Schizosaccharomyces pombe: one gene and its partner. The protein of the gene in region 2 interacts with the protein of the main gene of each other region in a pairwise test. Each region holds a gene or a part of one and is shown on either strand. Other genes may lie near its edges. The genes, in order: sfi1 and asi1.

Region 1 (5,161 bases), on a different chromosome or scaffold from region 2:
GCATAAGGCATGCTGCCAGATTCAAACCAACAGTCAAATACTTCACTGACACGATGCAATGTTCCTTTACCTTTTTTAGAAGGAATAGTGATATGATCAATACTGTCACGATGAATGTCTGTAATATTAGAAACGCCGGAAAGTTCTTCAAGCTCCTTAATGGAACCAATGCAAACGACTTCTTCGTAGTCATCACTAACCCAAAGTGGGATAGGGGTACCCCAGTATCTGTTACGGGAAATGTTCCAGTCACGAGCATTCTTCAACCAATTCGCAAAACGTTTATCACGAATGTTTTGAGGGACCCAGTGAGTGCTCATGACATTTTCAACCATCTCATTAGTGATCTCCTTCACGCGAACAAACCAACTGGGAACGGCACGATAAATTAGAGGTGTATCGGAACGCCAGCAAAATGGATAACTATGGAAAATTTGACTATGCTTAACCAAATGGCCAGATGCTTTCAAGGAGCGGATAATTTCCTTATCTGCGTCTTTAACATATTGGCCAGCGAAGTCTGTGATTTCCGAAGTAAGCAAACCTTGCTCATCAACAGGGCAAGGAGGTTGGTGATCAGCATCGATGATGCCAGCAGCCCAAGCAGCGTCATAATCTGCTTCACCAAAAGCAGGAGCTTGATGGACGATACCAGTACCACTGCCTTCTTCAACGTAGTCAGCAGAATATAATTTAAATGCTCTTTCGCCAAAAGTGCTCTTGAAATAAGGGAAGAGAGGTTCATACTTTTGACCATCCAAGGCCTTTCCTTGGAAACGTTCCAAAATTTCAAAGTTCGCCTTTTTTGGGTTCTTGTAAAGGATGCCAAGGCAGCTCTCCATAAGGATATATTTCTTATTAGAATCCTTGTCCAAAATTTTTATGTACTGTAAGTCAGGGTGAACAGCCAAAGCAAGGTTAGAAGGCAAGGTCCATGGAGTAGTAGTCCAAGCTAAGAAAGAAACTTCAGGATCACTAATGGATTGAAAGGCAACAACAATAGCCGGATCTGGGACTTCCTTATAGTTTTGTTGAGCTTCAAAGTTACTCAAAGGTGTTGTACATGCAGTCGAGTAAGGCATAACACGATATCCGCGGTAAACTTTTCCTTTTGTATGCAACTCTTTGAAAACCCACCAAACACTTTCCATGAAAGAAGGATACAACGTTTTATAATCGTTATCAAAATCAATCCAACGGCCCAGTCTTTCAACTGTTGCACGCCATTCGGATGCATAAGTCATGACAATTTTACGACATTCGGCATTGTATTTGTCAATACCCATAGCCATAACATCATCACTTCCAGTAATACCCAACTTTTTGTCGATTTCATGCTCAACAGGAAGTCCATGTGTATCCCAACCGAATCTACGCTCGACGTGATAACCCTTCAAGCAAGCATAACGGGTGACACTATCCTTAATGGTAGAAGCCAAAAGATGACCATGATGAGGACGACCGGTAGCGAATGGAGGTCCATCGAAAAATGTATAAGTAGGACGACCTTGAGAAAGTTTTAACTGAGTATGGAACGCATCGATTTCGCGCCAAAACTCAACGATTTTTTCCTCTTCTTTAGGAACGTTAAACGACATGCTGAAATACTTTTACGGTAGGCAAAAGAGCTAATTCAGCAATGCTTCCGGAAATCGGTCTTACAAGAAGTTTAGGTGTGGAAGGAGAGGAATATGTACACAAAACAATTTTGTATTCAGATTGATTGCGATCAAATCCGATACAATTTGCTAAAAAATTCAATGTAATTTGGTAAACTGTGTTGTTTGTCTAGCGCAAAGGCTGCACACTGTGATATGTATCTTAACGCATTTAGTCGAGTACAGTAAACAGTTCGTTGATGAACAGAACTTAGCCGTAAACAAACAGATCTTAAAAGTCTTGATTCATTTGGTATTCACTGAGCTTTCTTTGTGATGTGTTTAATAAAAGACTTGTAAGATCATGAGCAAAAATGGCGCTCCCAAGTATGTCGACGGTGGTCGAAAAATCATGGACGAGGACTTGCGTCGTGGTATGAATTTTAATACGAATTTGCTTTTATTTTTTGCTAACTTACTGGCATTTAGATTTAGAAATATTGCGACTAATTTTACTTCGTTTAAGTCACGCAGCTGATGATACCTCCCCTCTTGATGTTTTCAACGCATACGAAAGTGTCCTTCGAGAAAATGGTCTAAATCCTGCGAGGCATCGTTCTTATATCCGTATTCTTTACCGATTGATCTCCTCAAAAAAACTAAGCTGGAATGATGAATGGAGGAACTTGATGCGACGAATCGGGTTCTCACAAGTTTCCTCAGATTTGAATACACCTCTTTTCCCGCTTAATAACACAGATATGGAAAATGATCCATTTATTGTAAATGGTGATGATTATCGATCGAGGAGTAATCAGCAGAAATCATCCCAGTTTGCTAGTGAAGTTGCTCAAACGATCAAGTCGCAAACTGCCATGTTTCGCAGAGCGGACCAATATCGGTCTCAAAAAGACAAAATTTTATTAGCAAACAGTTTAGACTTTATGCTTGAAAAATATCGATATTATAAAAAGATTGATGCCGTCTATCTTCGTAAAGCTGACGCTGTTTATCGAGCCTTTATTATGCTTAAATATTTTCCACGTTGGGTTCAGAAGCTAAGGAACATTCAATCTAGAATATATAGTGCTGGAGAAGCTTACAGATTGATACTAATAGGTCAAATGGTAAATCGTTGGCGCCAGAAGACGAGAGAACGTCTCCATCAAAAATTGCGATTTCAAAAGAATGCGTTTTTGCTAGACGTTTTGCTTAAATGGTCAGCATTAACGGTCAATTGGAATAGAAAACATGAGTATATGTTAAAACGTCGTGTGTTTACAAATTGGATGTCAAAGAGAAGGAGAAATGAAAGCCTTATACAGAAAGCAAATGTGTTTTTCCAGCATTCTGTCCTTGCTCATTCTTTTAAAACTTGGAAAGCAAACTTATCCATCAAGAATGCTGCTACATTATATGAAAAAAAAGTTGTATTTATGTCTTTTAATAGATGGCATGCCAATTACGAGTCACATGTTTTGGATCTACAGAAAGCTGAATTATTCTCCCAAAAAGCTTATTACAGTATCGCTTTACATAAATGGAAACTTCGAATTGAAGAATTATCTGATTTAATGAACAAAGCTGATGATTTATATGAAGTTAACTTGCTGCAACGAATGCTCGTCTTATGGAGACGGAAAGCTACAACTTACGAAAAAATTGATTTTTGGATGGACGGACATGATGTTGATATTGTTAAGTCTGCTTTTTTTAAATGGAAAAATAAATTTATAAAAGTTGACAGGAATTTTGAACTGGCTGATACGATTTTACAAAATACATTTTTGACAAAATGGAGACTGGCCGTGAGAGTTAAGGTAGTCCAGGAGAAAAGAAATAAAGATCGTCTAATTGTCACATTCAGATTTTGGTATTATTTAATGAAAGCTAAGTCTTTTCAACATAAGCGAGATCATAGACTATTAACTATTGCTTGGGAGGCTTGGAAGGACAACTATCAACGAAGAATCAAACTACAAAAAGAAGCTCAAGAATTACAACTAACAAGAATTCAAAAAATCGCTAAGCAATATCTAATCAAATGGCGTATTTCATTATTGGACATTAAAGAGCTATCGATCCGCGCGGAAAAACTTCATACTACTAACGAAATTATCGGTGTTTGGAATCAATGGGTAGTGTCTTATAATCGAAAGGTTGGAATGCAACAAAATGCTGATTTATTTTTCAAAAGAAAGACTTTGCGAGTTGTATTCGAACATTGGCGATACCTTCGTGAGACTAATATGTTATTACGACTGGAAAACAAAGTTGTTGACTTTCGAGAAGTTCAATCAGAAAAACTTGTGCTGCGATGCTGGAATGCTTGGGTAGCGCGGTTATTGTCGGTTTCTCAAATGCTTGACACAGCAGAGCTCTCAACGCAAAAAGTTGTCGTTAGAGCGTACGAAGCATGGTCTTTTCGTTACAATCACCAAAAGGAGATAATGTCTCAGGCAGACCAATTTTATAATGAACGACTAATGCGTTCTGCCATGGTTTTTTGGCGATATCAATTGCGTGCTATAAAATTTTATTTCAATATTAGTGATTGGAAGCGTCGTGAATTTAATAGACAAACGTTGCGAAATGCGTTTGATGCCTGGCATTTGCTGATGTTCCGAGTTACTAGCTTAGTAATGCAAGCGGATAGGTTCCACGAGCAAAAGAAAAATAAATTATTGGGCAAATATTTCCGAAAATGGTTGCAACGTATGCAACTTAATCAAGAAGAATCATCATTACTAGAGGCAGAAGCTACCATTGAGGGCAATCGCACTTCACGCTATATGCATACATTTGATACCACTTTGCCAATGCAAAATGATGAATTCACTGATGAGTCTGTAAATTTTGAAAATCGCTGGAAGCAGGAACTAAAGACTCCCATATCTCGATTTTCCAAGTTTCTGCGGCCTATACCTCCTAATACCCGTTGACATTTACGATTGACGGAGAGAGTTAGTTCTCTTTTTTTTTATCTAACCATTTGAAATGAGTTGAGAGTATATTGATAAACCTTTAGATATGTATAATATAATAGTCATTGCTTTGAAAAGTTTAATACATAGTCGAAAATTCGTGTAACAGTAGCATCAATAATCCTGCAACACATTACAAGTACGTGTGGAATACTTAAAAAAAAAAAAAAAAAACTTTAAGCAGGAAGTGAACGCTTCACTTGATAATTTTAAAAGGACTTTACCAAATCGTTAGGAGAGTAATGCTCCATAAGATGTTCAAAGCAAGTACTACGACTTACAGTAGCAGGCGGTCAAACAAATTTAAAAAAAAAATTTTTTTCTTACAATGAAAAATTTACAAAAATGAAATACGTATAATAAAAAAAAAACTATTTAAATTAATAAAAACAGATTAACAAAGGAAAAAAAATTAAAAACTACAAAGCTTTAAAACAGTGTTTCAGAATAAGTCAAGTGAGAAAGCAAAAACATAAAAATTAATATGCTAAACCCGACATTAAACCAAGGAAATATACATGACAATGATTGAAAAAATTAGGAAATGCAAAACTTAAACCCAATAAACACAATATACCA
Region 2 (5,402 bases):
AAAAATTACATAAGGTTTTTTTTCTTCGGTTGCAGAGTCCAATTTTTACCATCAATCATTACATACTTCATATACTTAGTCAAAAAAAAGCATGTTAACGATTATAGATCAATGGCCGGCAAAGTGATTTTAAAACGAATGAAGACTTAAAAATAAAAACATCAAGCGCCTGCCTAAAACAAGTATTATGTCTCACCAGCTTCCTTTTCTTTATTTAACCCTTTTTTCTCGAGCACTTTAGATAGCAATTGCGCTTCATGGCGATACCGCTGAATGTCTCTTTCAACGTTGTAAATTTTCACAGCATACATTTCGCATTCCTTTTCAATTTCCGAGACTTTTCTTCGAATCCTTGCGGTTTTACGCCGATACACGTCCTCTATACGTCGAGTTCATTAGCAAAAAGTCGTCAGACAAAAATCGGTACACACCTTCAGTTTCTTGAAGCAAATTTACCACCTACGCGGTCAATAAATAATTACAAATAGGTAATAAACCTCCTACCTGTGGATCCATTCCCGAAAGCTTCACGTTCTCAGTTTCTGGTGAAGAATGCAAAGCTAGTTTGCTTAAAATCTGTATTGTATTTAACGAAAAACTGCTTACTTCGTTATAGAAGATTGCCTACTACATTACGCAACCAAGGGTTTATAACGATACGAACCGAAACCGTTATCTAGTTTTCTTACCCATCAGCTGGGTATTGCTAGTGAAAAACAAATGTCTAATATAAAGCTAATCCTTTTTTGGCTGACTTCTCTTATCCATTCATATTACATTTTTGCTTCTTTTGGGTAGAAAAAGAATGGATCATGTCTCACATTTACAATACGAAAGTCAAATTTCAATAAACAAAGGTACATCATACATGTGAACAAATATTTCAAAAACGATTTATGATCATTTCATAACAAAGAATCATGAATTTACTTCGGATAAGTTCAAAAATGATATTGTCAGCCACTGATTCAGAGTAAATCTGTCATTCGTTTTATAAATGCACTGTCATAAACGAATACTTCCAGCAGAACCAGGCTCCGGTTGCACAGAAAATTTCAAGTAATAAAGCAGTGTCTCATTGGCAAAATAATTTTCAGAAGGGAAAAAGCGAAATAAAACAGAAAGAACCTTCTGAAAGAAAATTGAAACCAAATAATGTTCAACAACGAAATAAAAACAAACAGAAATGATAAAAAGATAATAAAAAATACAAGGGTTTCACCTTGCTTCTAGCATTGAATTGAAACAATACAGACATTTATGAGTGGGCTGAAATTAAATAAAGAGGGGCGAGGAGGAAAATTAGAAAAAAGAGAAGGGGTCAAAGAGGTTTTAGACGTATATTTTTTGGTAATATAAACCAGTCTAAGATAGAGGAGTTAATATTTCATGAACAAAAGCACATAGAAATTGTTTAAAAACAACGGCAATAATAAGAACCCGGATACACAATCCAAGTATTAAATTAAAGATCCCTTCAAGTACCCAAGAAATTAAGTTATTAATCAAATAAAATAATAAACAAAGACAAAGAAGCAGAGTTTCACTTAAATAATTGTCAAATAAAAATCGACATGTTTTTTTCGACCAAAAAAAAAGAAAACTTAAAAAGAACGAAAAATAATAATTATGGGGAGATATTAAAGCGGGCATTTGTTTTAAAAGCAAAAACTTTTTTAAAAATTGGATTCAAGCAAATTCTTCCAATATGGCTCTTGCCAAATATCATCATTCCAAATTGACTGTGGAACAAGAGAGTTAAGTTGAATGAGAATGTGAAAATCTTGAATAGCTTGAGCAAGTCGTTCATCCTCCCCATCTTCTTCGTTCGTAGATAGTATATAATCGTTAAAAGACTTGTCGCCTTTTAAATCATCGTTACACTTGATAAAATCGTCATAAACAACTTTCCATGCATCAAAATCTTTAAAAGCTTTAAAGAAAACCTTGTTGCTCAGCATGGAAGGGAGAGCAACGCTAATCCATTTAGCATAATCAATTCCATTCGACCAGCTATGCCTCCACAGATATACAAATATGTCCATAAGACCAGAGGCTTGTGCATATTGGCTGTCATCTTCGGTCAACCACAAACACAAGGTAGCCACAGCACTGATTACAGTTACATGTGATGCTAAATTGTCACGGTTTTTATTGTTATCCCATGCATCACGAAGAAAATCCATCGTATCGCTAAACAACTCAGTAAGCGATCGCTGAAGTTGGAAAAATTTATCAGGCTCAATTCTTTGGGCAAGAACGTCACAATTTTCACATAGATATCGAATGAGGAGTCCAAGAACTTCATAGCATTCACAAACCGTGTACGACACAGTTCCATGCTTTCCTTTCTGACCAACTGCCTTAACTAGCATTCCCAGACTTCCTCGAATCTCAGCAGAGCAGCGACCAATCACCAAAATCATAAACCCATCATTTGGCATAATAGAGGCGGGACCAGCAGCTTTAAGAAGGTTAGAAAGAATAACGGTAGCTGAAGAAAGATTTTTATCGGTGATAAAGCGTTCAACAACCGCATCCATCAAAGGCTGGAGATTAGCACGAATGGCCTCGGAATACCATGATTGAACCGGGAATCGCGAAAACAAATCGCTAAAAAACGAGAAAGTACAGTCCAACTTCCATCCGCGTCGTTTGTCGATACCTTGGAAAATGGGACGCATATACGTCTGTACGTTGTCGAGGGCGTATAGTGCGTTTGAAAGGATTTCAAATGCTTGTTCAAATGGAAATTCGTTGATAATAAATGATGTATAGTAAAGGAGATACTTAGCTGATTTTGGGTTGGAAGACAAAGTACATATAACCGGGATACAAAGATCATAATGTTTCAAACAACACTGTAGTAAAGTAGAAACCCTTTTTTTCACTTCATAACTTCGTAAAATGGCTTCTTCACTGCAGAAAGCGAGAAGGATGGAGACGCCCAAATCTACGTACTCGTAATGAGTGGAAAGGAGCAAGCGGTCCAAAAACTTCATATCCATCCTTTCCCAGCATTTGAAGATGAGATTGGGATGATCATTGAGTAATTTTGCAAGCATGGTCAATGACACAAATTTACTTGTATCGTCCTGGGCATGCAGCAAAGAAAAACAGTTTTCCAACAACTCCATAGAACCTCTCGACTCGCCGGAAGCATTTGAATCCTCGTCCTTATCAGTAACAAAATGAACCTCCGTTACATGGTCCTCACTCAGCTTTTCAGACGCATACGAGTCATCTTCGGAGAGAAGCTGCTCATACGATATAGTGCGCACGCCTTTGGGACCCTTGTGAAGATGAAAGTGTGGAATATGCATTAAGGTGAATTGAATTGTACCTCAATAACCTATTATTTATGAAAAAAAAACTTAAAACCGAGCTCTTCTCACTGCAGTCTACGACACTAAGTAAACTTTGACAAACGAAAAGAGGAATGCACCAAAAGTCTAACAATTTTCAAATCCAACAAATTTTCGTTCAACAATCCGAAATCTCCAAACTTCTCACCTTTTTCCTCAAATTCCACTCAAATCTGCCAGAAAAAAAATGTTTCTACTTCAAATTACACCAATTTTTCTTGATTAATTAAATAAATATCGAATTTGTAGTCCTCTACGACTTTTTACTCTTTCAAGCTAGGTGTTCCGCTTATGCTGAGGCAAAAAGGCATGCCTTGAGTTTTGTCTCCAATTGACGAATAAGGTATGCCCTATCTTCTGGTACTTTGGAAAGTGCCCCCACTTGGGATAAAAAGGTAGAATGCCCCCATTTCCTTTCCTATCGAAGGCCTTAGTGGTGGTTGACATAGCAACATAGCAAATGTGCTTTATTTACATAATAGATGGCAAACGACTCTAGCTACTACGTGACTCTAAACAAAGCAAATAAACAAGCTTCAAATTGCAGAGATTGAACGTGTTTTGCTTGTAATTTATAGTTGAGGATTTTTTCTGTCTTAGTGAATCCATTTTTTGAAGAAGCGTTGTGGTAAAAAAAATGTCTAATACTGGGTTACCCAAACCATGGATTGTCAAGATTTCACGCTCCAGAAATCGTCCCTACTTCTTTAATACTGAGACGCATGAGTCTTTATGGGAGCCTCCGGCTGCCACTGATATGGCTGCCCTGAAAAAGTTCATTGCAAACGAGTTGCAGGAGTCAGTTACACCCACCGAGGCAAGCAATTCACCCAAGATTCGTGCTAGCCATTTACTCGTAAAGCATCGAGAAAGCCGTCGTCCCAGCTCATGGAAGGAGGAGCACATTACTAGGAGCAAGGAGGAGGCGAGGAAGCTGGCTGAACACTATGAACAATTGCTAAAGAGTGGCTCTGTAAGCATGCATGATTTAGCCATGAAAGAGTCGGATTGTAGCTCCGCTCGTCGCGGAGGTGAATTGTATGTATTTTGATATACTGTAATTAAATACGAGTCGCAAGACCGACAGTATATGGTGGTGCCACACTTGGTGATAAGCTCTTGTTGGTTTGCCAAGTGTAGTCTGATTTTCAACTGGAACGATTTTTACTAACACTATGTGTAGAGGCGAATTTGGAAGAGACGAAATGCAAAAACCGTTTGAAGACGCTGCGTTTGCCTTGAAACCCGGTGAAATTAGTGGAGTGGTTGAAACGAGCAGTGGGTTTCACATCATTCAAAGACACGCTTAATTCATTTGCAAAACAATTACCTAATAATATTAATGAGTATGCTTTATTTCTTATTTTCACTTACTCCCTTTCCGTATGCTTGAAAAAGCAAACAAAATGTTTGTCTTGTTTTGTCACAAATTTATCTCTTCTGATGATTTTTTACATTTTGTTGACCATTTTCCCAAAGGAGAATATTCACAATTGTCGCTTTGTATGTCCCTTATTTCTGACGTTCACCCGTTTATAATACATTTTAACTTAGTATTTAAGTGTTTGCCCATTCATGAACACGAGCCAGCTTACTACCTAGGTTGAAAACAAAATGATTTGATTTCGCTTTGCTATTGATTGAAAAAGCTTTGATGAAAAATGATAAAGTAACTGATTGATGTTTCGAGATTTCTGTTCACTTTAAAAATTTTCACAGATTTTCTACTTTACATGAATGTTAACTTTATTAGAAAAAGTAATTACAAATTTATCTTTTGCATATTTCATTTGAGGTTTTATGGTTGTAGTCATTTTTTTATGCTATATTTATTTATTTGTTTATTTTTCTTTATACCTACACAAGTCTTTTTTCGTTTTTTTTCTCTAACCAACCCCATGCACTGATTTACAATAAAACAATTAATATCCGGCAAAGTGAAAATGCAGCATCCCATTTTTTACGCTATAGAGGTGAGTAGAATTCTTCAGCATTTGGAACCCATTTAATAAATTTATTTGAACCGACTTCGTACTA

What was found.
Region 1: the proteins of asi1 (region 2) and sfi1 interact in a two-hybrid assay, tested with the Schizosaccharomyces pombe proteins (one large-scale study listed by BioGRID).

What each region holds. Positions count from the first base shown.
Region 1 is NC_003423.3:1,365,595-1,370,755, reverse strand, and holds sfi1 (protein Sfi1), read left to right. Parts: upstream 1-1,871; 5' UTR 1,872-1,962; coding exon 1,963-2,032; intron 2,033-2,087; coding exon 2,088-4,540; 3' UTR 4,541-4,661; downstream 4,662-5,161. Other genes in the region: isoleucine--tRNA(Ile) ligase Irs1, read right to left, coding at 1-1,598. UniProt on the Schizosaccharomyces pombe protein: Component of the spindle pole body (SPB) half-bridge involved in the initial steps of SPB duplication.
Region 2 is NC_003421.2:660,666-666,067, forward strand, and holds asi1 (protein asi1), read right to left. Parts: upstream 3,659-5,402; 5' UTR 3,324-3,658; coding exon 1,677-3,323; 3' UTR 781-1,676; downstream 1-780. Other genes in the region: hap2 (Ino80 complex subunit), read right to left, coding at 186-379, 432-459, 505-516; peptidyl-prolyl cis-trans isomerase Pin1, read left to right, coding at 4,003-4,403, 4,549-4,675.